2 linked regions of the Styela clava genome follow. Each later gene encodes a partner of the first gene's protein in a complex. Links are inferred from orthologs where the notes say so. Each region holds a gene or a part of one and is shown on either strand. Other genes may lie near its edges. The genes, in order: RNA polymerase-associated protein CTR9 homolog and uncharacterized protein LOC120338085.

Region 1 (11,799 bases):
ATTACTTATCATTTTTGTCAACAGATATTCGAGACAGTAAAATATTTTGAAAAAATAACGTTTTCATTCGTATTATTTCCCCCGTCGGAGATTAGGTATTAATTAGTGTCACTCACTCACTATTCTTTGCTCAAAATTGGATTAAATGCGGATTCAACGACTGGGTCCAAAACTCACTTATATTGAAAAGTATTGCTTTAGTTATGTCATCAATAAAATAAACTTATTTTTATTTGACGTTTTTCTTGGATTTTGTCATTTTGTAAAAAGATTTGATCATTCAATGAGCGAGTTTTTGCATATTTCACATGTACATTCTGGATCGTATGTGACAAGACCATTTTTTCTACTATAGTCGAGAATTTTACAATAAATAATATTCCCTTCATATCATATTGGAAAGAGAAATTTAAATCGAAAAAGTTAACATCGAAAAAAGAGATATTCGTGTATAATATAGCCATAATTGTATCAACCAGTATATGAATTCCATACAAAAGCCAGTGTTCCGAGTTTTCTTTTATTGTTTTTCAATTAAAATTTACGGATGTCCTTGCAAGTACATTGGCACTTGTTGTTGTGTACCTAATCACATTTTATCATTCGAAAAGACCGAATAATCGTTTTTTCTTTGCAATCTTCTGTTCCGGATTTTAGTACATGCATTCCTGAGGAATAACACCTGTAAAAATATTTTATCTTCCCTGTATTGTCGGATATTTTATCAAGTATTATTCGTTTTTTTATTCGGAAATATTATTTTATTTTTGATCTTATATTGGCACAGCATGCAATTATTACGTTATAACTTCTCCAGATTTGGCCGTCATGTTGCAATTAGATACATTTCTGAAGCGTATGACATCATCACATGATATGAATGATGACGTCACTAACATGTTCATTTTTTCTTTTGTATTTCATCAGTTTGTTGTATTTTTAGAACGTAAAAATTTATAAGGAAGCCGATTCAGCATATGAGAATGTAGGAGACATAGGTTCAACGTTCCATCCTAATTGTAATTTTTTATCTTTCAACTTATCAGAATTACACATTTATCTAATCAGTCAATAGATTACGAAATAGATATGCTTGATTGGGATCAAATAAATTGTTGTTTTTGATAACGATTCCATTGTCTTAACGATACTACCATCCCTGTCATGTGTCCATTCCTATGTTATTATTTGATGTGTATTCGTACTATTCTTACATAATTACGAGCAATAAATAGAGCCAGAGAGAGTGTCTTCTGATTTCATTTAAATTGCTTATTAATTATAACTCGTACAAATCATCAATCGATGCGAGTGAAATCTACCATCAACAGACACTTTCATCGAGGCTAATTTGCCGGCGCTCCCGTAGTATTCGTACCAATATGGCGCACAACCTGCTAACCCTAACCTGGTACACATATTATGTACAGGTTGTGCGCCATCTTGGTACGAATACTACGTGAGCACCGATTTGCCGATACTCCCGTAGTATGTGAACATGGTTAGGGTTGGGCCATAATTTTATTTCGATTTGGTATTGACGTATATGGCTGATTTTAACTTCCTAATTATTAGCATCTGCAGTAGCCTACTTTAAAATGATCGAAGCTTGAATAGTATCAGACAGATGTTTCGTGGTGTCACATTGGATCAGATTAAAGTGGAGTGGTGTATATTAAGGAAATTTAAGATTACCTAAATAATTGCATGAGTAACAGTATAACTAGGCTTGCCATACGTACCGTTTTAGGCGGAACAGTCCCCCTTCTCAACGTTTGCCCCGTTGTCCCGGCCGGTCAGCCTAAAGTCCCGCTTTGGCGTTCAGCCAGTCTGCATAATATAAGACATTACCAATTAGCATGTTCTCGATACTGTTGTTGCGGTGTAGCGTACCGGTAGCCTACTTATAAAGGTGGATTTGTTTGTTTCGTTGTTTTCCGCTGATAATTGCTACAATTTGTTACGTGTAAACGCCAAAAGGACAAGGGTGCTTAACGTTAACGTAAATTCCTTTTTAGATAGACAGCGCATGCACTCTTGAAGACAACCGGGATGGTTTTGAATGTGGGCCCCTGATGTAAAATCGATGAATTTAAAGTTGAAAAATTCACAGCTGTGGTGGCGTCCGCTTTGAGGTCACAAAAATATGGTAACCCCAAGTATAACAATCATAAAAAGTGCTAATGTACTTAAAACAAAGCGATAAATTTCCCTCCTCAGTTCGCTCCAAATTCTGTGGGATCTCTGCAACAGGGAATTTTAATGAATATTCATAATGACACATTGAAATTTGTAAACAATATAGATGAGCTGGCATAATGTTGGAGACATGGTGCATGCACAAGACGATACTTTACTAAAACAAAAACGTGGGGCAATGCACCTCTTTCGATAAATATTCAAAATACCAAAAAGTTGAATGCAACTCACCAACTGTACTAGAGCAGGGTGTGCAGCATTTTTTGTCGGTGGGCCATATAACCAACTTCAGACATCTATCTGGGCCCTAAAAATGCGGATATCGCTTATCCTTAGCGTTATAGCAATAAAGGCATCGGGTAAATGGCGAAAGATCCAACGTGGGGGTGAAAGGAAAATAAACATAATGTATTTGATACCCATGTTAGCGTCTATGGTATAAGCCACGTAAGGGTGGTAGTATCCTTGGAACAAAATGTTTATTCTAGCTAAAATGAGGACAATCCAGAAGTATGTGTGCCAATATGGTGGTAACGAATTTTGTTTACCTACTTTACATCAAGTTGTATAAGGAGACTAACCCACACGAGTTAGGATAGGATTTACATATTCATCCCGGGGGAGGGGAAAGCCTATAATGTCTATGTGCATCAAAACCAGTCCAGCATACCACAATCTGACAAAAGAAACGATTCCAGATGGTTCGCGCGTAATTTCGACAAAAAAGAGGGACCTTTTCCCCCACGGCATAGATGTTTTCCTGACCTTTGACCTCCGAAAAAATTGAGACGTTCACTTTAGTAATTAAAATGAAAATTACCACTCGGTAGCAACAAATACCTAATATCAAAATACATTGTTAATACAATCAAAATTCACTGTCGTGACACAAATATAACTAGTAATTTTGAATATGTCTGTGGCCTACATCAAAATGTTTCCGTGGCCCAGCCACAGGCGGGCGTCATTTTTAGTACCGGTATCTATGCCATTGACATCGCAAACACTTCATTTCAAAACAAAACTAAAAATTTGTTGTGAACGAAAAAGTCATGAATGAAAGGGTTACCGATTTGACTGAAAGGGTTACCGATTTGACTGAAATCGCAGCTTTTTCGGGGCTAAATATTGCTAAGCTAAAGCTCCTAGGAAGACATATTCATGATTAAGTCATTTGACTTACAACTAATTTTTGGAAACACAACAGAAAACTGACGAATAAAACGCAAAACCAGGAGATGGAGGCAATACTTACAACCGTGCTAAAATATCTGGCCGGGAAGATGTGTTTGAGCGGCTACACAAATTGCAATTGTTACGTCATTGTTGACTTATTGCGGTCATTATTACGAGCATAAACAAGAAAATCGATGCTTGGAGAAACATCCATAGGCGTATAATAGTATTCGCTAGTTGAGGCTTTGCAATTGCTATAACCAGATAAATATTGATTTATAGATAGGATGAAATGGTATTTTTTCAATATTGTTCACTGCAATTATGTTTTATATTTTATAAAAATACATAAAAGGCATGTATCGAGTGATCTGGAATGACATTGTTATGTATTGTTTTTTGATCGATATTGTTTATTGCAATATTGTTTTATTTTATAAAAATCCAATAAAAAAAAAATATAACATCGGGTGCATTTTGGTGCGGCACCTTGCGGTATTTCAGTATTTATATTTTATTCCATATATAAAGTATATTTTTATTTACGTTACCGTACCGTAGTAAAAAATGCGAATTTATAAATATTGCGATGATCAATTTGTAGTTATAATTGACACGGAAATTGATATTTTCGAACTTATGGTTTGTGTGAATTGGGTGACAGCTGACTTCTGGTCACCACGCAGACCTCTCAGCTAAGCAGACGGTACCGTATCGCGTTTTCCTTGCCTGAAGCAGAATCGAGTACGGTATGGTACCGTACCGGTAACTCGTTTAGTATTGCTGTATTGGCGATTGCTTAAGATTGCATTGTCTGGGTGACTAATAACAGAATAATGTATCGGTAACTTATATAAGTTTGGGTTGAGTGAGCACGTGCATCAGTACCGGTACGTCTTGAATCTTATTTAGATTTTGCCCACTTTTCTGATTTTCCGTATATTTGTTTGTTTTGCCCAGTATTGCTTCATTGTTTTGTTGTAACGGAAAATCGAAATACACTCAACTACGGCACTTAGTTGTTCCAACTTCATAATCCAGTAATCAGAATAACAGACAATAAAATAATCGATAAAATAAAATAGATACAAAGGATAGGATAGGATAGGATTTACATATTTATCCCGGGGGAGAGGAAAGCCGATAAGACGGCTTATCCATATGGCGAACCACGGCCTCTCGTCCGGTTACCATTCCAAGTCGGGTATGGGATTAGTTTTTACTGTATTGTTTGTTTTTTTCGGAAGCATGGACTTGGTGGTGGAGGAAGCCGTAACCGACCAGCGGTTACGTGAACCACCCAACGACGGCGAGGAGTCCAGCAATCCTCTCGCACATAACCATCCCTGCATGGGATTCGAACCTGCGAACCCACGCAGAGTGATTAGAGGTGCGGTGGCGAGCGTATTCCTAACGCTTAGCCCGTTGAGCCACACCGCCGCGTCAAACTGATTACCGGTACAGATTCAGGAAAGCAAACAAAACAAAGTGCAGAAGTACGGTACCGGTAAAGTTAGAAATGTACGGTACAGATTTTAGATGGTAAGGTGTTGTCTAAAAAAGTGGTTATGGGTATGCCAGTATGCGTTCCCTCACCTGTTTGCTTACTTGTTACAAAATTCAGAAATTGTTAACACTGTAATATAATTTTTTAAGATAGAGTCTAGAAACACTGAAACACATTTACATTGTATAAGTTACTGTACATATCCTAGATTAATACCCTTTGCAACAAGATCTGGGCTTTTGATCAGAAACAAAAGTCCAAGATCAAAAAACTAAACCATGAAAGAAAAGGACGATGAAGGACCACAAAGCCATTCAACATGGGAAATAATGCATAAAACATTTGTTGCTGCTGATCTAAGTTTATCAAAGTCACTTGCTGTGAATGCAAAAGGAGGACGGCTTCGTCCTATAATGCAAATATTAGAACTTTCATGCCACGGAATACCATGGATAGCTTTTACTTTATACGTACTTTACAACACTCGAAATTACATGTACGAAGAGGTGTTTTTTAACCTTCTAATTGCGTTATTAATGGACCTTATCATCGTCGGAACTATAAAACTTATAGCACGAAGACGACGACCGGCCTATAACAAAGATGATATGTTTGCTACTGTATCTGTAGATAATTTCTCCTTTCCCTCTGGCCATGCCACCCGTGCTTACTTAGTTACTTGGTTTATTTTGTATCATATCAAACTAGCTATCCCTCTACGAGCCCTGTTACAAGTTTGGTGCCATGTTGTTGGAATATCAAGAGTTATACTTGGTAGACATCACATTACTGATGTTATAGCAGGGTTTATAATTGGTTATTTTGAATTTGTGTTGATTGAAAAATTTTGGATCAGTTATGAAAACTGCAATTTTATTTTGAGTTTTATAAAGTGATTAATTTATTTGTATGTTCTCTATTTGGTTAAAGTATACTTCAGCACAAGCCTAATGTTATCCAAATGAGATTATTCTGCTCGGTCATGCTTGTTATTATTCCTAGCAGTGATTCTGAAAAGAGTTTTAGTAATTATGCTAAACCTCATCCCTAACTAATGAATACCAATGTTGAGTAAAAGTGGCTGAACCCTGAATCACAGGTCATTGGAGTGTCTTCATCTAATCTAGTTCCGAAATTGATTCAATCATAGAGCTACATAAGTCTTACTGGCAGTTAATTGAATACGAGACCAAGTCAGTTCATTCAGACCAGTGGTTTCCAAAACAACGGATAAAAAATTTAATATGGCCCGCCAAACTTGAGTGAAATATTTTAACACCTTATGTGTCTCTAGATGTCGCCAATTGTGTATTCGTACATGTATATTCTTAACAATTCAATTATATTTGAAATATGCATATCGGTATTAGAATTACATATAGGTCATGCCCATGCAGGCGCTCCCTTCTTCCAGCCTGCGAATGTTCTTACATTTCTAATTTTGGCTTCTGAAGCTTAAAATGGCGGCATTTTCACGCACTCCCTAATTTAAATGAGATTATTTTGAGCTGTCATACTTCATTGGTTTTTAGTAACAGTTAATTCTGCTGCTGCTGTTATATTTTTATTTTCTTATAAATATATTTGATAACTATCAAATGTTTGTTGATTACTATAGATGAAATGTTGGTCTTCTTCATGCAGTTTTTATGCTCAATTTTTTCATATTCCAATAATATTATCTAACTGTGATATTTAGAATCTCTTGAGATTTTTAGGGGCAAAGTAAACCTGTTAATTGTTCAGAATATTCTTGTTGTGTGTGAAAATCACTTTCAAATATTCAGGGGTAAAAATCGAAGTGTGTTTTAATAGGCTATCAATTTTATCTGCTTTCTTACTTTCGCTGAGCTCTTAAGAGCCCTTGTTTGTCTCATCATATTTGGGCATTGCTTCTGGAGGATTTTACTGTCCGAATATACAGGGTATCCAAAAATTTTATTGCATGATAAACTACAAGCACAATGAAAAATATTAATAAACAAAAAAAAAGTAATCTGTTAATTGTTACTATAAAATCGAGCTAAATTTTTTCGGACACCATGTGCATTAGTTACCGTAGGTACTTAGCCATAAATACTTTTAATTTGTTTTCTAATACCAATCAATGAATTCACATAATCGAATAATTTATTAATTTTGAACTCTGCATTATCATCTTTATCAAACTTTTTATCAGGTATCATTATCAGAAATGTTATCATGGGTGAGATAAGAGACTGGTGGTCAGGTTTGACAGGAAGAAAGAAACTTGGATACGGAGTCTATGGTTTTATGATCGCCACAACTTTGGGATTGTACTTATTCAATAACAGAAAGTACGTCTATGATCCCAGTGTGAAAAAGAAAAAAACTGTCATTTCAAAGTGGGACCAGTAGTGGGAATCTTGGAGAGAGCGACTGAAATTACAATTATACTTAATACTAAGACTGTGTGAGGATTTTTCTTCACCCAAAATTGAATTGAGATTTCCGATTGTCAATTATTTAAACTTTGGTTGTTGATGTTGACAAAGCATTCTTGATTGACTTTTTGAAAAAATATTGAAATTGTGACATCATAATGTCTGTTGAAATCCCACTTCGTGACACTGATGAAGTCATTGAACTTGACTTGGCTCAATTGCCAGAGGGTGAAGAGGTTTTGGGAATTTTAAAACAAGAAAACACAACTCTGAATATATGGATAACATTGGCGCTTGAATACTACAAACAAACCAAAGTAGAAGAATTTGTAAAGATTTTAGAGTCCGCTCGAACGAATGCGAATCTCGAATATCACAATCATGAGAAAGACCAGATGACTTGCCTCGATACACTGGCTGCATATTATGTTCAACAAGCTCGTAAAGAAAAGAACAAAGATAAAAGAACTGACCTATTTATGCAAGCCACACAGCTTTATACCATGGCTGACAAGATTATTATGTACGACCAGAATCATTTGCTTGGTCGTGCTTGCTTTTGCTTGCTTGAAGGTGACAAAATGGACCAAGCTGACGCTCAGTTTAATTTTGTAATGAACCAATCACCAGATAATATTCCTTCTCTTCTCGGCAAAGCTTGTATTTCTTTTAATAAAAAAGATTACAAAGGCGCCTTGGCATATTACAAAAAAGCTTTGAGGACAAATCCAAACTGCCCTGCTGATGTGAGACTAGGAATGGGACATTGCTTTTACAAACTCAATAAACTTGACAAAGCAAGACAAGCTTTTCAACGCGCAGTAGATTTAGACCCGGTATGTGTCGGAGGTCTCGTTGGACTTGCTATACTTGATCTTAATAACAAGGACGTTGATTCGATCCGTGCCGGGATTCAGAGACTTTCTCGTGCCTATCAAATCGACGCTAGTAGCCCAATGGTGCTTAACCACCTTGCAAACCATTTTTTCTTCAAAAAAGATTACGAAAAAGTTCAACATCTTGCGTTGCATGCATTCCATAATACTGAAAATGAGGCTGTTCAAGCAGAAAGCTGTTATCAGTTGGCAAGAAGTTTTCACGTACAAGAAGATTATGACCAAGCTTTTCAGTATTATTACCAAGCAACACAGTTTGCAACTCCGAATTTTGTCATGCCTTATTATGGTTTAGGACAAATGTATATTTTCAAAGGAGAAGAACAAGATAAGGAAAGAGCTGCTGAATGTTTCGAAAAGGTGCTGAAAGCTTACCCAAACAACTACGAGACAATGAAAATATTGGGATCACTGTACGCTCAATCTGACAGCCCAGAAAAGCAGGGATTAGCTTGTAAGCATTTAAAGAAAATCACAGACCAATACCCTGATGATGTTGAGGCCTGGATCGAGCTTGCTCAGATATTAGAACAGTCTGACATACAGGGAGCTCTAGCTGCTTATGGAACTGCAACTTCTATACTCAAGGACACCGTACAAGCTGATATCCCACCTGAGATTTTGAACAATGTCGCCGCTCTTCATTTTCGTCTCGGGAATTTAAAAGAAGCGAAAAAGTACTATGAAGCTGCGATGGAGCGTGCAATGGCGGAAGCAGATCATGATGAGGTTTATTACCATTCCATAACAGTTACAATGCAGTACAATCTAGGGCGTTTGTGCGAGGAAATGTACCATTTCGAAACTGCTGTCGAACATTATAAAAATATTTTACGACACCATCCGAATTACACTGATTGCTATCTGAGGCTTGGTTGTCTTGCTCGAGACCGGGGTCAGATTTACGAAGCTTCTGAGTGGTTTAAAGAAGCTTTACAAATAAACCAGGATCATCCAGATGCTTGGTCACTGATTGGGAATTTACATCTTGCTAAACAAGAGTGGGGACCTGGACAGAAAAAGTTCGAAAGAATTTTGAAAAATGAGAAAACACAAAACGATGCTTATTCTATGCTTGCTCTCGGTAATGTCTGGCTTCAGACCCTTCATAACCCAACCAGAGACAAAGAGAAAGAAAAACGCCATCAGGACCGCGCTCTCGCCATGTTTAAACAAGTTTTAAGAAATGATCCGAAAAATATCTTTGCTGCGAACGGAATAGGATCTGTACTTGCACATAAAGGTTACATTCGGGAGGCTCGGGATATTTTTTCACAAGTTCGTGAAGCAACTGCTGAAGTTGCGGATGTCTGGCTTAATTTGGCTCATATTTATGTTGAGCAAAGGCAATATATAAGTGCCGTACAGATGTATGAAAATTGTCTCAAGAAGTTCTACAAACACCACGACCCTGAGGTACTAACTTATCTTGCAAGAGCTTATTTCAAATGCAACAAGTTGACTGATTGTAAGAAGGTACTGATGAAAGCGAGGCACGTAGCTCCAAACGACATGGTTGTGCTTTATAATGTTTCGGTCGTGATGCAACAGTTGGCAATGAACGTTTTGAGAGATGAAAAAAGTAATTTGAAGACTGTGCTACGTGCTGTGACTGAACTAGAATTGGCACAAAATTATTTTACGTTTTTGAGCAAACATGGTGATAGAATGAAGCTCGATCTCAAACAATCTGAGAAAGAAGCAAGTAAGTGTCGAGATTTGCTGTCTCAAGCTCAGTATCACGTTTCTCGTGCGAGAAGGCAAGCTGAGGAGGAGAAAGCATTGCGTGAAGAACAGGAGAGAGAGCGAGCTTCACTGAGAGAGAAACAACTTGAAGAGGAACGGTCGCGCATCAAAGCACAGGAAGAAAAAATGAGAGCGTTAATGGAAAAAAGAGCGCAAATTAAAGAAAAAAGCAAATCAGTTGCACAGACCTTGGAATTGGATTCGGAACCCAAACGTAAAAAGAAATCAAAAAGCGGAAACAAAGCGACTGATCACTTCATTAACGACGGAAGTAGTGATGATGCTGGAATCATGCACGTTGAAGGTACTGCTGAGCCACTCACCAAAAAACGTAAAAAGAAACTAAAAACAAAAGGGGAGCGGGGATCAAAACCAGCAGGGAGTGGGGACAGTGATTCAGACAATGACAGAGGAAAGAAGACTTCTAAAAAGCAAGCGAAATCAAAGCCAGCTCCTGTGGATAAATTATCGATGAAACAAAAGATGAAGGTCAAGTCAAGGGCATATATTTCAGACACATCTTCAAGCAGTGGCGGAGAGGGCCCACCGGCAAACGATGCACCAGGTGAAAATATTTGCATATTGGATTTTATATATATATAAATTGGAAATTTTTTTGTGAGAATTATTTCAAAGAAAGGTAGCATGCACTTATGCTGATAGTACAACCACTCTTGCGTTATTGTGTAGGTTTATACTAGAGACTGATTGATTTTCTTCGGGGGAGATGATTTTGTGCGAGAGCATTGTTGGACTTTTGCTATCGCTGGACTAGTCATGTTTTACAGGTCGTTTCGACATCATTCAGGTTTATGTATACTGAAAGATCAACTTGTTAACTATTTTCCTATTAACCAGAATAGAAGTCGTGTTTTGCCATATTGTTACCCCATCGTATCAGTTTTCCTCTCCATAAGTATAAAAAATGTCTATCTTCATTCTAATTATTTGCATTCCAGGTGCAAGTGGTGGCAAAAAGCTGTTACAATCATCTAGTGAAGAAGAGGGATCACCTGCAGCCTACCCTATTGCAGCGAGTGGGTCAGAAAGCGAAGCAGCGGCACATAACCAGTCTGATGACTCATCGGAAAACAGAGCTTCCGAGGACAATCAACATGAGTCTGAGCAAGAAGCAGCGTCTGGCGCTGACTCCAGTGATTAATAGGAATGTTGATATTTGAATAATTCGGAATTAGATTTATTTTGTTGCAAATTTTGATGTATGTTTTTCTTCATGAATTTGAACCAGTTTGTTATTTCTTCTCAAAAGCTAAAATTTGAAATTAATAGTTTTGATCAGTTATCTCAATTCTCAAAAACCAAAAACGAAGTCCTTCGAAACCAAGAATTTTATATGTCAAAATTGTGTTAAAATATTTGACTCAAAACTGTTATTTATCTTCGAAATTGACAAATTTTGTATCAATGTTTTTAATGAATTATTCAAATTTTTGAAATACCATTTCAAAATAGAAATTAACATTCGAATAAGTACTTCGGACATCGCTCGAGCTTGATGCGTTAGTGTTTGGTTTAGTATTTTTTAAAAAACTTTTTGCGTGGGCCATTGGTTTGTTATGGATCCAACTTCATATGCTTGTCCAGCTCTATTCCCATCCATCTTAACATAAACATATCATTGATTTTAGTTATGAACTCATCCAATTGTCATTCGGATAGTTTTTGTGAAAAATTCTGATTTTGTTCCTATACATTCAAACGGTGGTACTCCTGAAGTATGCGCACCAAGATGTCACACAACCTGACCCCCAACCTGGTACACAACCTGGGTTCAGGTTGTGCGCCATCTTGGTGCGCATACTTCAAGAGGTCCCAAACGGTTTTGGTATTCTGAAATTCTGCAACAGTA
Region 2 (11,808 bases), on another chromosome or scaffold:
TATTTATTTAAGGTATAAGAATACCGGTACAGTAGAACTGTGGAAGGTCTTGGCTATCAAGCTACGGGGTTTTATATATTTTGTATCATCCCGTTAAAACATATTTTTCATTTTTGAAGCGTATCAATTTAATTTTCACACTTTCATCTTTTGCATTCTGTGATTTCTAACTAGTGAAAACATATATTTCTAACTTCTTTTGATTATGTTGAGTCCATTGAGATTTGAAATTTCATTTTTAATTTTTTTCCTTGAAGGTTGACAGACTAACAGTAATTTGTTTGTATTTGTTACTTATTTCATGACATCTAAAAGATATGCCGCCCTATTCCTGTTAGCTCATGATAGTTTTTTTTTCCCATGCGGGGTAGTTATGTCACCTTATGTGCGAGAGGATTGCTGGACGAGAGGCCGTGGTACGCCATATGGTTAACCCATTTTTATCGGATTTCCTCTCCCCCCGGGACAGATATGTAAATCCTATCCTACAGGCATAAGATATTGTAAAAATGCTGAACTGTCGGTAACTTTACAGACAAGTCTGCAGGTAGACTATTACGGTATGCTATTACCGGTACGGTACCGGTACTGTATTATTGAATTGTGACTTTTGATATTTTGTTCCTAATTTGCAAATGCTTAATCCCACAGAACAAGCATGGAGGATGATTAACTACCAGGAACTTCTGTATTACACACAACTACCGTACCCCGCATGGGATGCGAACCCACGCAGGTTAATCAGAGATGTGGCGACGAGCGTATTCCTAACGCTTAGCACGATGAGGCACACCGCCGCGTTTATTCTGTGGTTTTTTAGATTATGTTGATGTGGTGTTGCCAAAGTGTTCCGTACGGTACCGGTACGGTACTAGACTCCAACGAATTCCATACATATGCAACATACATTAATTTTGTGAATTTCTGTTTTGGGTTCTATCCATGGTACGGTACCGGTAAAAACTCATATTTTATTCCAAGAGCTGACACAAAATTCTTCCAAAAATCAATCAAGTTCACTGGTCCAAAAAATTTGGATCAAATTCCTGAATCTATTAGATTGGCTTCCATGTGAAATTTAAAAAAAGTTACCTAAATTTTCTTGTTAAGGATTACTAGAGTATAGTTATAATATTCAATAATGATAAAAACATGTAACTGCCCATCATATAATTGTCACATAGCCACTGTTTGCTTACTATCTTTCAATTTTCAAGTTAATTTTGAATAATTTTCTACATTTGAGTTATTTTTTCTGGTAACTATTATTTTTACATTATTATTTGTATTGAGAGTATACTTCGTTTAAATATTTGGTAGTTACTAGTCGACGGTTACTTTATATATTTTTTCTCAATAATTATTTGGCTGGAATGGGTGGTGGGCGGTGGGCGGTGGCTGACTTTGATGAATTTTGGTCGTATCGCCATCTCCCAGTCTATACCAAAATAAATGCTGTGTAATTTATTATTTTAAAATTTATTTGTATTAATGTATTCTGATTGACAAAAATAATAAACTCTCTCTCTTTCCGGCGGCTAACTTTTAAAACTATTTTCTTTGACTATGTTTGGTTAGGTCATGTCTCGCTTTTCTTTAATGTAGTTAAACCAAATTAAAACTAAAACTATAATTTTCAAACTTGTTTCAGTCCTGTAATCAGTAAATTTTACTTATAAAATGGATATTATTAGCTAATATGTTTTAACAATCTGCTTCATATATGACTGTATGATGGATCCATTGGGTGCGATATGCGGGACTCGAGATTGTGTGGTCATTGACGATTTAGTGTCTTGGCAAAAGACTTGTGAGAGTTTACATGGAGTTGATGATGCTACGTCTGTGGACACTGAAAATACAGACAATTTAAAGTTGGAATATCATTTTCGAGAGGATATAAATTCAAAAATATTTCTTTGGAATGGAGATATAACAAAGGTAGCAGTACAAGCATTGATTCTTCCAGTTTACGAAGTTTTAAGCAAATCTTCCCCACTTTCGCAAAATCTTCAGTATTCTGCTGGTCCAAGACTAATTGCAGACGTGCGTAAAATTATCGGGCTTCGAACTAGCGAAGTTCGTGTTCTGCCTGGATATAATTTACCAACGAGATATGCAATTCATACTGTGGAGCCAAGGTATAATCCAAAGTTTTATTCAGCGGCTGATACAGCATTACATATTTGTTATAGAACAGCCTTGCAGGTTTGCGCTGAAAGGGGGCTTCGTACTGTTGCAATTTCACCCTTGCATATAACAAGGAAGGGTTTTCCTCTTGTAACAGGAAGTCATATTGCTTTGCGGACAATTCGGAAATGTATCGAAATGTTGGGAACAAAATTTGATGCCGTTATCATAGTAACAGACCCAACAGTAGTAGATTCCTACTCAAAGCTATTTCCAACATATTTTCCGAGATCTGTAAATGAGGCGCATGCAGAATTAAAAAATGTACCCAACAACGTTTTTTGCAACGAGTGGGGGGAACTATTTCAAGAGGAACGAGCTATTCGGATCGCTGATATATCGGAAATACAACCTGAAGAAAATCAAAATGTCATGCATGATTCAGAAGTTGATGACAACATTAAAAATAATTCTGAAATTGTAATTGACGAACGAGTGACTCAGCATTCTTTTGCTCAAATGTCAGGCGACCATGACGGAAAACGTCGATTCATGATGCTATACAGTATGCAGAGACAGACGCTGCAATCCCAGGAAAGGATTTACCAAAGGCTGTTACGAATTTCTAGAAATGAGAATTTTTCAAAATTTTCTTTACTTGGTGCAATTAAAATTTCTGGAAGAGATGTAAACGGCAATGTTGTTATTTCAATAATTGGAAAACACCTCAATTTTTATGAGATTGATTTAGAAAAGTTTCTTTTATACCTCATTTTGACCTTTGACCCTATTGTGAACAATCCGTACACTGTTGTGTACTTTCACACGCAGACGCTAGAGTTCAATCGACCTACTTCAGAATATTTGAAGAAATTATACAATACTTTTGATTATCGCTATAAATCGAATCTTTCTAGATTATGTATGGTCCATACCAACACGATGATGAAAATTACAACTTGGATTTTTGCGTCATTTTCCGTCAGTGACCTCAAAAGTCGGATTATGAATATTCGATCAGTGCCGGAATTGTATAAAATCGTCCCACCGAATCAAATTGATGTTCCCCCGTTTGTGTTGACCTATGATATGAAAACGAATCCTCAAGCCTACAGTTCTTCTCCTACGAGAAGTCCAACAAATTCATTGGGACAAAGGAATGCAAAACCTACTAGAGTGTCAGACTTCAACCAAGTTGCCCATGGAACACTCTGACTTTATTTTCACGAAGGGCTGTTACTTTGTTACATGAGTTAGTTAGGCCAGTGGTTCTCAAACTTCCTTAATCCATGACCCCTTCCCAAAGACTATCAACACTTCATGGTTTCCCTGCTCTTTTCAGTATAAAAATAGTTTATTTTTAACAGGTTTTATCAGTTATTCGCTTCATCATGTTCAATGAAGCCAACAAAGGAAAGCAAACTAATAAATGCTTTACGTTCGAAGATTTAAACAATCACAGTTTATTTTCTATGTCTTAATGTGGCGAATGCTACCTTATAAAAGTCTTTGCTTTGGTCTTCATAGTACTTCTTCATGTAGGACTGTAAGGGTCCAATTTGAGTTTGGCCTATGTGTTATTTTGCTAAATCAAATCACTGTTTTTTTTGGGAGAAAAATCACTTATTATTCTTCAAATACTGGCCCCCCAATCTGATTTCCATGAAGTATAATTTCTCAGCCATACAATTGACAGCAACCATTTTATTATCTTTTTTAATCCTTGGTGCATTTTCATTGCAATTGACTTGAGATTTTTCCTAAATTTACAAGTTTTTTTGTTTCTATACTATTTTTCTATCAATGGGATTACGATTATGTTGCATGGACATATCTTAAGTTTAGTATATCTTATCCAAACTTGAAAGAAAACATGACGAAAAATAACAGCATTCTGTACTTGTAAATTATATTTGGTTTTTCTGGCCAGTCATGCACCATTAATTTTAGTAGGCTATTAGAGAAATTGCAATAGTTAGTAAATCAAGCCAGACTTCAGCTGCCCCACAAATGTTTTTAGTTTTAATCAACTGGAAATATTTTACTCGTTCACTTAAGTCGTTCCCAACCTTGTTTGTTAAACTAGCAATATAGGGTGTTCATAAAGTCTTCTGAATTTTTTTAAAATTGCAGAGGGTATTTATCGATACCATATATTGTTTTGCCCTCACAGATGTATTAAATGAAGTAAAAGTACTTGAACAATTACTGATTAACATACAACAATTTTGGTTAAGATATATTGAGAACTGACTTCATTACAGAATTGAAAATTGTAAAAGGAATTATGGACAACCTGTACTGCAGCACATACAAATTCTTCCCTAAGAAAGACAAAATTTCTCACAGGGTGGAAATTGAAGTATTTCTGCATATTGTTTCAGTTTGATAGTATAAAACCTCATATATTTTCAAATTGAGCAAATCTTGGATTGAAATAAGATAGAGCAACTGAATAATAGTTCAACCCAACTTTTTCATATGTTTGTTTAATGCAAAGTCACAAGTCTAACAGGAAAGTAACCAAACCTGATATTTTGTGTGAATCAATGTCCCCAAATATTTCTAAAAAATTTTATGTTGATCCATATTTTTTGTGTCAAATTATAGTCATATTAATTACCATTGTTGCATCATGAATAGTTTCATTATGAGCTGTGAACTTAAATCCTGTGACATCATACGTATCCAATTATTGTGCAATATTACATTATATCATGTTGGGTTCTGTAGTTTATACGTACTACACTCCTTTTTATCTGTGTTTGAGCAGTATTTGAATATTTATATTCATATCTAAATTTGCTTAACTGTAATGCAGTGGTTTCCAAATTGCGGCGTAATAAAGGCTCATGTAAGGATTTGATATGGCCCGCTGAAATAGTTCAACACCCCAATTGTTATGTCATCATCACAGTTTAAGCATGTGTATATTAGTAGCAATTCACTTATACCGGTATCTTAATTATACAAGCCGTTATCAACCTTTTGTGGGCGTTCCCCTTTCCCGCCCCGCAAATTTCATTCCGCTTCTAATTTTGGCCCCTCAGAATACAAATTTCTCTTTTTCTATGAAGACTACCGTATATGCTCGTTTTACTGCCCGATCTTGATTAAGGGCCCGTTTGAATAGCTGCCCGTGTGAACAGAACATAAAAATAAATAAGAGCCGGTGCTTGAATACCCACCCGATGTAAAAGCTGATTTTTCAGTGGTAGAGAACAATAGGAAATAAGAAGCGCTTTTGTCACAACGCTGTTGAATTTTGGGCGCCGGTAGATAACACTCACGCGTTAGGCGTCCGAGTACATAACAGATAGCATTGATTACATAACACCATGGTTCTCAAACTGGGTGTCGCGTCCCAAGTGCAATATTGATAGGGCGTCGCAAAGCTTTTCTTTTGCGGATTTGTACCTGCGGTCCGTAGAAAAAGTCAAAGTTTTCGTTGTTCTTGTTTAAATCATACTTGAGAACTGGAAATAACAATATATTAATTATTGTAACGATCGAAAATAACAAGCGCCCGTGCTTGAATAAGGGCCCGGTTAGTGAGTTGGTTGAAAACAATATGGGCCCGGGCTACGGAATGAGCAAATACGGTATATTCTGTTTTGCATTGATAGCCTTTTGATTAGGCCTTCTCATATTCTTATCATTTTCTGGCTCAGGCGCCAATACTATATTCTGTGGCATTTACGGCCTTTTAATTGAGCCGTCCTATAGGCTTTCTTTCCCCCAAAATAAAATGGGAAAAAAGAAGATTATAATTCAAGTTTAGGCTCCTTTACCATATTCTGTATTCCATTAATTGTCCTTCAATTGAGCCATTTTACACCTTTCCTCTCCTCAAGATATAAATTGAAAAAAGTGCTCTACCGGCTTTCCACCCCTCAGAATAATTATGAAAAGCAAATAATTCTGCCTTAAGTGCCGTTGCTGTACTCTATTCATTTTTTTTCTCGATTAAACCATATTATTTACTTTTTCCACTCTTCTGTCTAAATGACATAGAGTCTAATTGATTGTGATCCAGTGGTTCTCAAACTTTGTGAAACTTTCTCTTCTTAGAATTAGTCAAAAGTTATGCCCACCTCAAAAAATAATTTGCTAAAATGCAAGTTGTAGTAACAGTAAATAACATAAAGTAAGGCGAAAGTATGTTTTATTCAAAAAACATGTTGAAAATATGTGTACTTACTAAAGAAATGTATAGAATAAAGAAATATGAATATCAATATTAAGGCAGGCAAGATCAAACCTAACAAATATTTTTATCCGCAATTGGGCCATTCCAAGCAAAAGTTGAATTCCATCAATTTTTTTTCAAAAGTGTAGTGACACAAAGTGTTTGATTGTGTGATACAGTTATTTCATATGAAATAGACGCACTGAATTTAGGTTAATAAAGTTTAAATGTTTGCAGTGCTGTAAGACATTTCCTCACCCATTCAACGATTTATTACCAGAATTTTAGGAGAAGTTGCATCTATATATTGCATCTAACAACATGCAAAATTTCTGGAATTGTCATGTAGTGTCACTTGGAATAGCCCAATTAGCTTCACTCCTACTTACCCCTTGTGGGGTGTGCCACCATTTGAGAACCACTGGTGTGATCTGTCTACTATCTGTAAACCATTTCACTGATAACTTTGCAAGCTTTTATGTTAAAAACCTTTATTGACTGATTATAATCACTTTCTTATGAATTGAATGTAAAATTGTTTATTTTTTGTATAAAAACCATGATTTGAATTTTGATTTTGCATTTAAGACCTTTAGTGTAAAATTTATATATAATGGACGAAGAATTATTTGGGGAGGGAAGTAGCAGTGAGGAAGAGCATGAAGAGGGAGTAGAGAACACAACAGAACAACAACAAGAAAGTGCAGAAGAAGAATCAAGTGATGGCGGAGAGGAGGTTAGGAGTTGTATGTTGGAACATGGTATCCCGTCCAGTTGAATAGGGGATCACGATACCCATCAGTGATTTATTTCAGATGCATGGACTTGATGGTGGAGAAAACTGCAACTGACAAGCATTCAATGAACCACCCTACTACGGAGAGAAGTCTAGCAATCTTCTTGCACATAATTACTGCCACAAGATTAAACAAAATTACTCACGCAACGTTGTATAATAATTTTTGGTTACCCATAAAAGATTCATTGTTTTTCTATGTTTTAGGAGGCTGACCAGAATGTGGCAAGTGGAAGTGGATCTGAAGCAGAGTCAAAGGAAAGCTCGGCAGAAGAAGAAAAAAGTGGGGAGGAGAGTGCAGGCGAGCAGGAAGGTAAAATAGAGGGAAATGCTCTAATACAGTGGTTTCATATTTTCATGATTCGTGGCCCCATCGAAGACTCTCAATGCTTGGGACCCCCTTCTCTTCCATAAAAACATCTAGTTTTGCTTTTAACTGGTTCATCTGTTTAATATCAAAAAGCCAATAAATAAAAGTGAGGAAACATTTGCATTGCAGTCAGAGAATATAAAATTGCAATCACATTTCATGTGAATATTCCCTCAAATTAAAATAAAACAGCAAAATTTTTGGTAAAATTCTGAATTCTTGATATAATTTTCAGAAATTGAAGTCTCATAATATTGCCAACGGGCCATTATCTTGGAATTCTTGGAAACTCATAAGAGATATAAAACTAATCAAAATTCAGATTCAAACTTTGTAAATAAACATTGACTACTATGTGTTCTTTTGACAGACTTCAGAATATATTCTATTTTCCATGATTTCAAATTTTATTTTAGAATGCATTTGAACTCATTAATTACTTTGTTTTAAAATTTCACATGACATAACACTATCATGTTGTCGCGAAAAATGCCTTCAATATTTGACATTTCATTGCTCGTGATTGATTACCTATGACATAATAACTATAAATGTCAAAAGATAGTGGGTGTGAGTTGTGATAGCATAATGCTAATTAGCATTTGTTTATGACAAAACAGTCATGCATTAAAACTTTTAACCCCATGGTATTACGTGAATGAATGAATCTAAAATCATACGACAACGGGAAATGTATTGTTATGTGTGTGTACAAGGATGGCTAAAACTGAATTGAATTGAGCCGTGGTGACAATAAATTCTATACAGTAATGGCTTAGTAATGGATCCACATTTTATGATAAACTCTCCATTGTTTCCATTTCTTTCATCTCGTGCAATTTATGATAAACAGCTCAAGTTTAAACGAAGTTTATGTGTGTCATTCACTAATTTTTTAACCTTCTGTTACCTAATTATTTCGTGTCGTGGTCCCAACCCAAGTACAAATCTTTGCGTGTTTCATGAGATTTATTGTAAAAACATCAATTGGCGATTAATTCCCTATTTTCCCATTGGGGCATGGACATGTCATAAACTTACTATTGTGCATATCGTCGTTGTGTCGTACCTCTTTGTCTTGTGTATTAAACCAGAGTTTTATTTGTATATTTCATGTCTGTTGTCCTACTATAACGCAGCAGTCCTAAACTGCTGTTATACTTGTTAGGGGTGCTACACATCCGTGTGTTAGGCCAGTAAGGTCTTGTACACGTATCTCGTCTTTGTTTTACTGTTTAACTATTATGCAGGTACTGTTACATTTTTGAGGCAAGTAAACATACATACATACAACTATTCCAGCCTACATTTAAAAATAGTAGTATGTAATATTCCAAGTATTTTAAATGAGCCATGTTTAATTAAGAATATACAAAAGCCAATATGGTTGTTCAATGGTATACAGACGTTCCGTCCGTTTTTAAGCGTTTTAGCAGTGTTCTTGGTGTTTTTAGACGGTTTTTCACTGTTTTTAAGCGTTTTAGCAGAGTTCTTAGTGTTTTTAGACAGTTTTTCACTGTTATTAAGCGTTTTAGAAGGGTTATTGATGTTTTTAGACGGTTTTTCACTGTTTTCAAGCGTTTTAGAAGGGTTATTGGTGTTTTTAGACAGTTTTTCACTGTTTTTAAGCAGGCTTTCGCGCAAGCTGAAGTGAGGAGATACATTTATCAACAATGCAATAGTAAACCATGTTTGAAGTTAAAGTTTAACTAAACAACTTCATGTACGGACCTCAAGCAAATAAGTGATTAATTATACCCATACCCAACCTGATATCACAATAGGGTCATTTTTTTTAAACTTTGCTCGTCTTGGAATGAAAATCTTATTCGCTCATTTAAAGGTTTTTTAAAACCTATCATTTTACACAGCGAGTGATGAAGAAAATGCTGAAGAAACCGAAGACAAAGAAACTCAAGAAGCATCAGGTATTTATATTACCGGTTAAACAAACTTAAAAAATATTAGTAAAACTACACACAAATATAGAGTACACCCCCCCCCCCCAAAAAAAAAAAAACATTTAGATTTAGATAGATGACTGTAGGGAAACGCTGCTGAGCCCGATTTGTTCATAAGAAATCTTAATATTCTCAAATTTGTTTCAGGCAATGATAGTTCTGATGGGGAGGAGGAGGCGGAAGGGGCTGCAGAGGCTTCAGGGGGAGAAGAAAGTCCTACAGCAGCACAAGAAGAATCTGATGAAGGTGGGAGTGAAGCTGGAGGGGAAACCCCTGTACACTCAGATTCTGATGGTGAAGCAGGTCTGTGCTGGTTTTGTGCTTAATAATATGATATTGATTAATATTTTGTAATACTTACGAGAGGCAAAATCGGGCCCAAAAATTTCAGCTCGGCCCAGGTCCGCTGGTATTAAACCCGACCCAGCCCGAGCATGACTAATTAACTGGATTTGCAGGCTTGAAGCAAACCCAAACTTTTATTACTTATCGATCTTAAGATCGGTAAGTATGTTGATAGGTATTTGTCTGTATGTTAGATGCATGCGATATTTCACGAAAGCGAGGTTGAATCTGCTCCAAATTTTGCATGTGCATTCATCATAGCTCGGATCAGAAGCCTATTGATTTTGGATGGATTATGTCTTATAATTAGCGAGTTATTAATTAATTAGTGATGGGACACACGGTGTCACTATGGAGTAAGACCACTGTTTTGGGGGATCCCCTAACCTTCGATCGATAAGTCTTCGGTTTCTAACCGATATTCTAGTTTAGGTGTTCTTTGAATTGTCATTGCAAGAGTTTAGTACAGTATGTTTTATTACAAGTATTCCCTAGTTTAGTCTCCACACATAGTTTTAGTATATATTTTTTATAAACATATATTTATTAAAAAATGAAAAGTCAGCAATAGAGAAAGCCGGCCCGATCGTAATGATTGACAATTCAGGCCAAATTTGGGGTCAGGCTAAGGCTTCAGATCTTAGCTCCAATACTCACACAACTGAAATTTGTTTCACTCTGAACAGGACTCGCAGCAGCAGTTATAAAGCAGCGCTGATGTGTAAAAAAATAGCTCTTAGGTGTAATCAGTCTGTGGAAATTTTGCTACCAAATTTAATATGGTTTAATATTTTGTATAATGATTCTTTGTTTATGAGGCGTTTTCAAACTTATACTTTACCCAAAGAATCTTCTGAAGTAAGATAATAGTATTTGTAGGGGATCTTCTGAAAAACATGCAAAAACCTTGAAAAAACGTCCAAATTTCATGAAAAACTGTGTTAAATCACCAAAAAGATATATTTTAAGTTCGGCCATAAGTGATTGAGATGTTAATAGGGTGGACATTGATTATGAAAGTTTGAGAACTACTGTGCAAGGCGCCACGTCTATTCAGCATAGATACACCAGCTACAGTTCAATAGCTGTGAAAAAAGTCATAAACTATTGAATACCTGGTTTCAATATTTTAAAAATTTCAGAACAACTTGAAACATCTGCTGACGCTGCAAAATCTGAGGAAGAAGACAGTGATGGGGATAATAAAGAAACAAAGGAGACTGCTGAGAGTGGGAGCGAAGAGGAAGAAGATAATAAAGAAACAAAAGATTCTGATTCTGGGAGTGATATTGGTGGGAAAAGACCAAAATTAACTGGAGGAAGTGACGCAAGTTCAAGTGATGAAAATGCTGGAGACCCGGTTAGTGATAACTTTTCTTTGTGAATGTTGAACTTTGAACTATGGATCATTGTTCTGAGACTGAGTTGGTAAATACCTCATTTTCTAAAGACGATTTGCTCCTAACAATGTTACACTCACTTACACAGATATAAAGAAAGACTCATCTCTGAGTTAATTGACTGCAGACTATTAAGATCGCAAGAAGTAAAATTATATAGATTCATGTTAGTGCATTATGCCCCACTAAATACTTATTCAAGCAATTTTTCATGTCAATTTTATGAGGTAAAAATAATCCAATCAGCTCAACAATTTAAGTATTATGGTAATAATGTAGAAAAAAATAGTACAAAGCAAAATCTCTCCGCAAGAGCAACAAAATTTCTTTGTTGGGAGTAATTGCTGTTCAATTGGGAAACGTGGCTCATGGTAGACCACTATGTATTTTTATCATAATTTGTCACAACATGGAATTTCTACAATTTGTATGCTGAATTGAATTTTATTCTTGTAACTTATGGGTATTCCCATAGTATGTGTACCAGGTTAGGGTAAGGCCATAATTTTATTCCGATTTTTCTTAGTTCTATTACGAGTTCGGGGACTGTTCGTATTAGCCAAGTGAATATACCCCCTGCCCATAGGTTTCAGTCCCTTTACACAACTTGATGTAAA

Evidence for each region.
Region 2: RNA polymerase-associated protein CTR9 homolog (region 1) and uncharacterized protein LOC120338085 share a complex: the UniProt entries of both Caenorhabditis elegans proteins name them as parts of the PAF1 complex. The link is inferred for Styela clava from reciprocal best matches to the Caenorhabditis elegans genes ctr-9 and leo-1.

What each region holds. Positions count from the first base shown.
Region 1 is NC_135263.1:4,072,430-4,084,228, forward strand, and holds the start of RNA polymerase-associated protein CTR9 homolog, read left to right. Parts: upstream 1-6,926; 5' UTR 6,927-7,445; coding exon 7,446-10,494; intron 10,495-10,888; coding exon 10,889-11,091; 3' UTR 11,092-11,799. Other genes in the region: polyisoprenoid diphosphate/phosphate phosphohydrolase PLPP6-like, read left to right, coding at 5,161-5,778. UniProt on the Caenorhabditis elegans protein: Component of the PAF1 complex which is a multifunctional complex involved in transcription initiation via genetic interactions with TATA-binding proteins, elongation and transcription-coupled histone modification.
Region 2 is NC_135250.1:1,317,604-1,329,411, forward strand, and holds the start of uncharacterized protein LOC120338085, read left to right. Parts: upstream 1-6,914; 5' UTR 6,915-6,932; coding exon 6,933-7,055; intron 7,056-7,322; coding exon 7,323-7,428; intron 7,429-9,356; coding exon 9,357-9,413; intron 9,414-9,593; coding exon 9,594-9,749; intron 9,750-10,933; coding exon 10,934-11,151; intron 11,152-11,808. Other genes in the region: ganglioside-induced differentiation-associated protein 2-like, read left to right, coding at 1,732-3,345. UniProt on the Caenorhabditis elegans protein: Component of the PAF1 complex which is a multifunctional complex involved in transcription initiation via genetic interactions with TATA-binding proteins, elongation and transcription-coupled histone modification.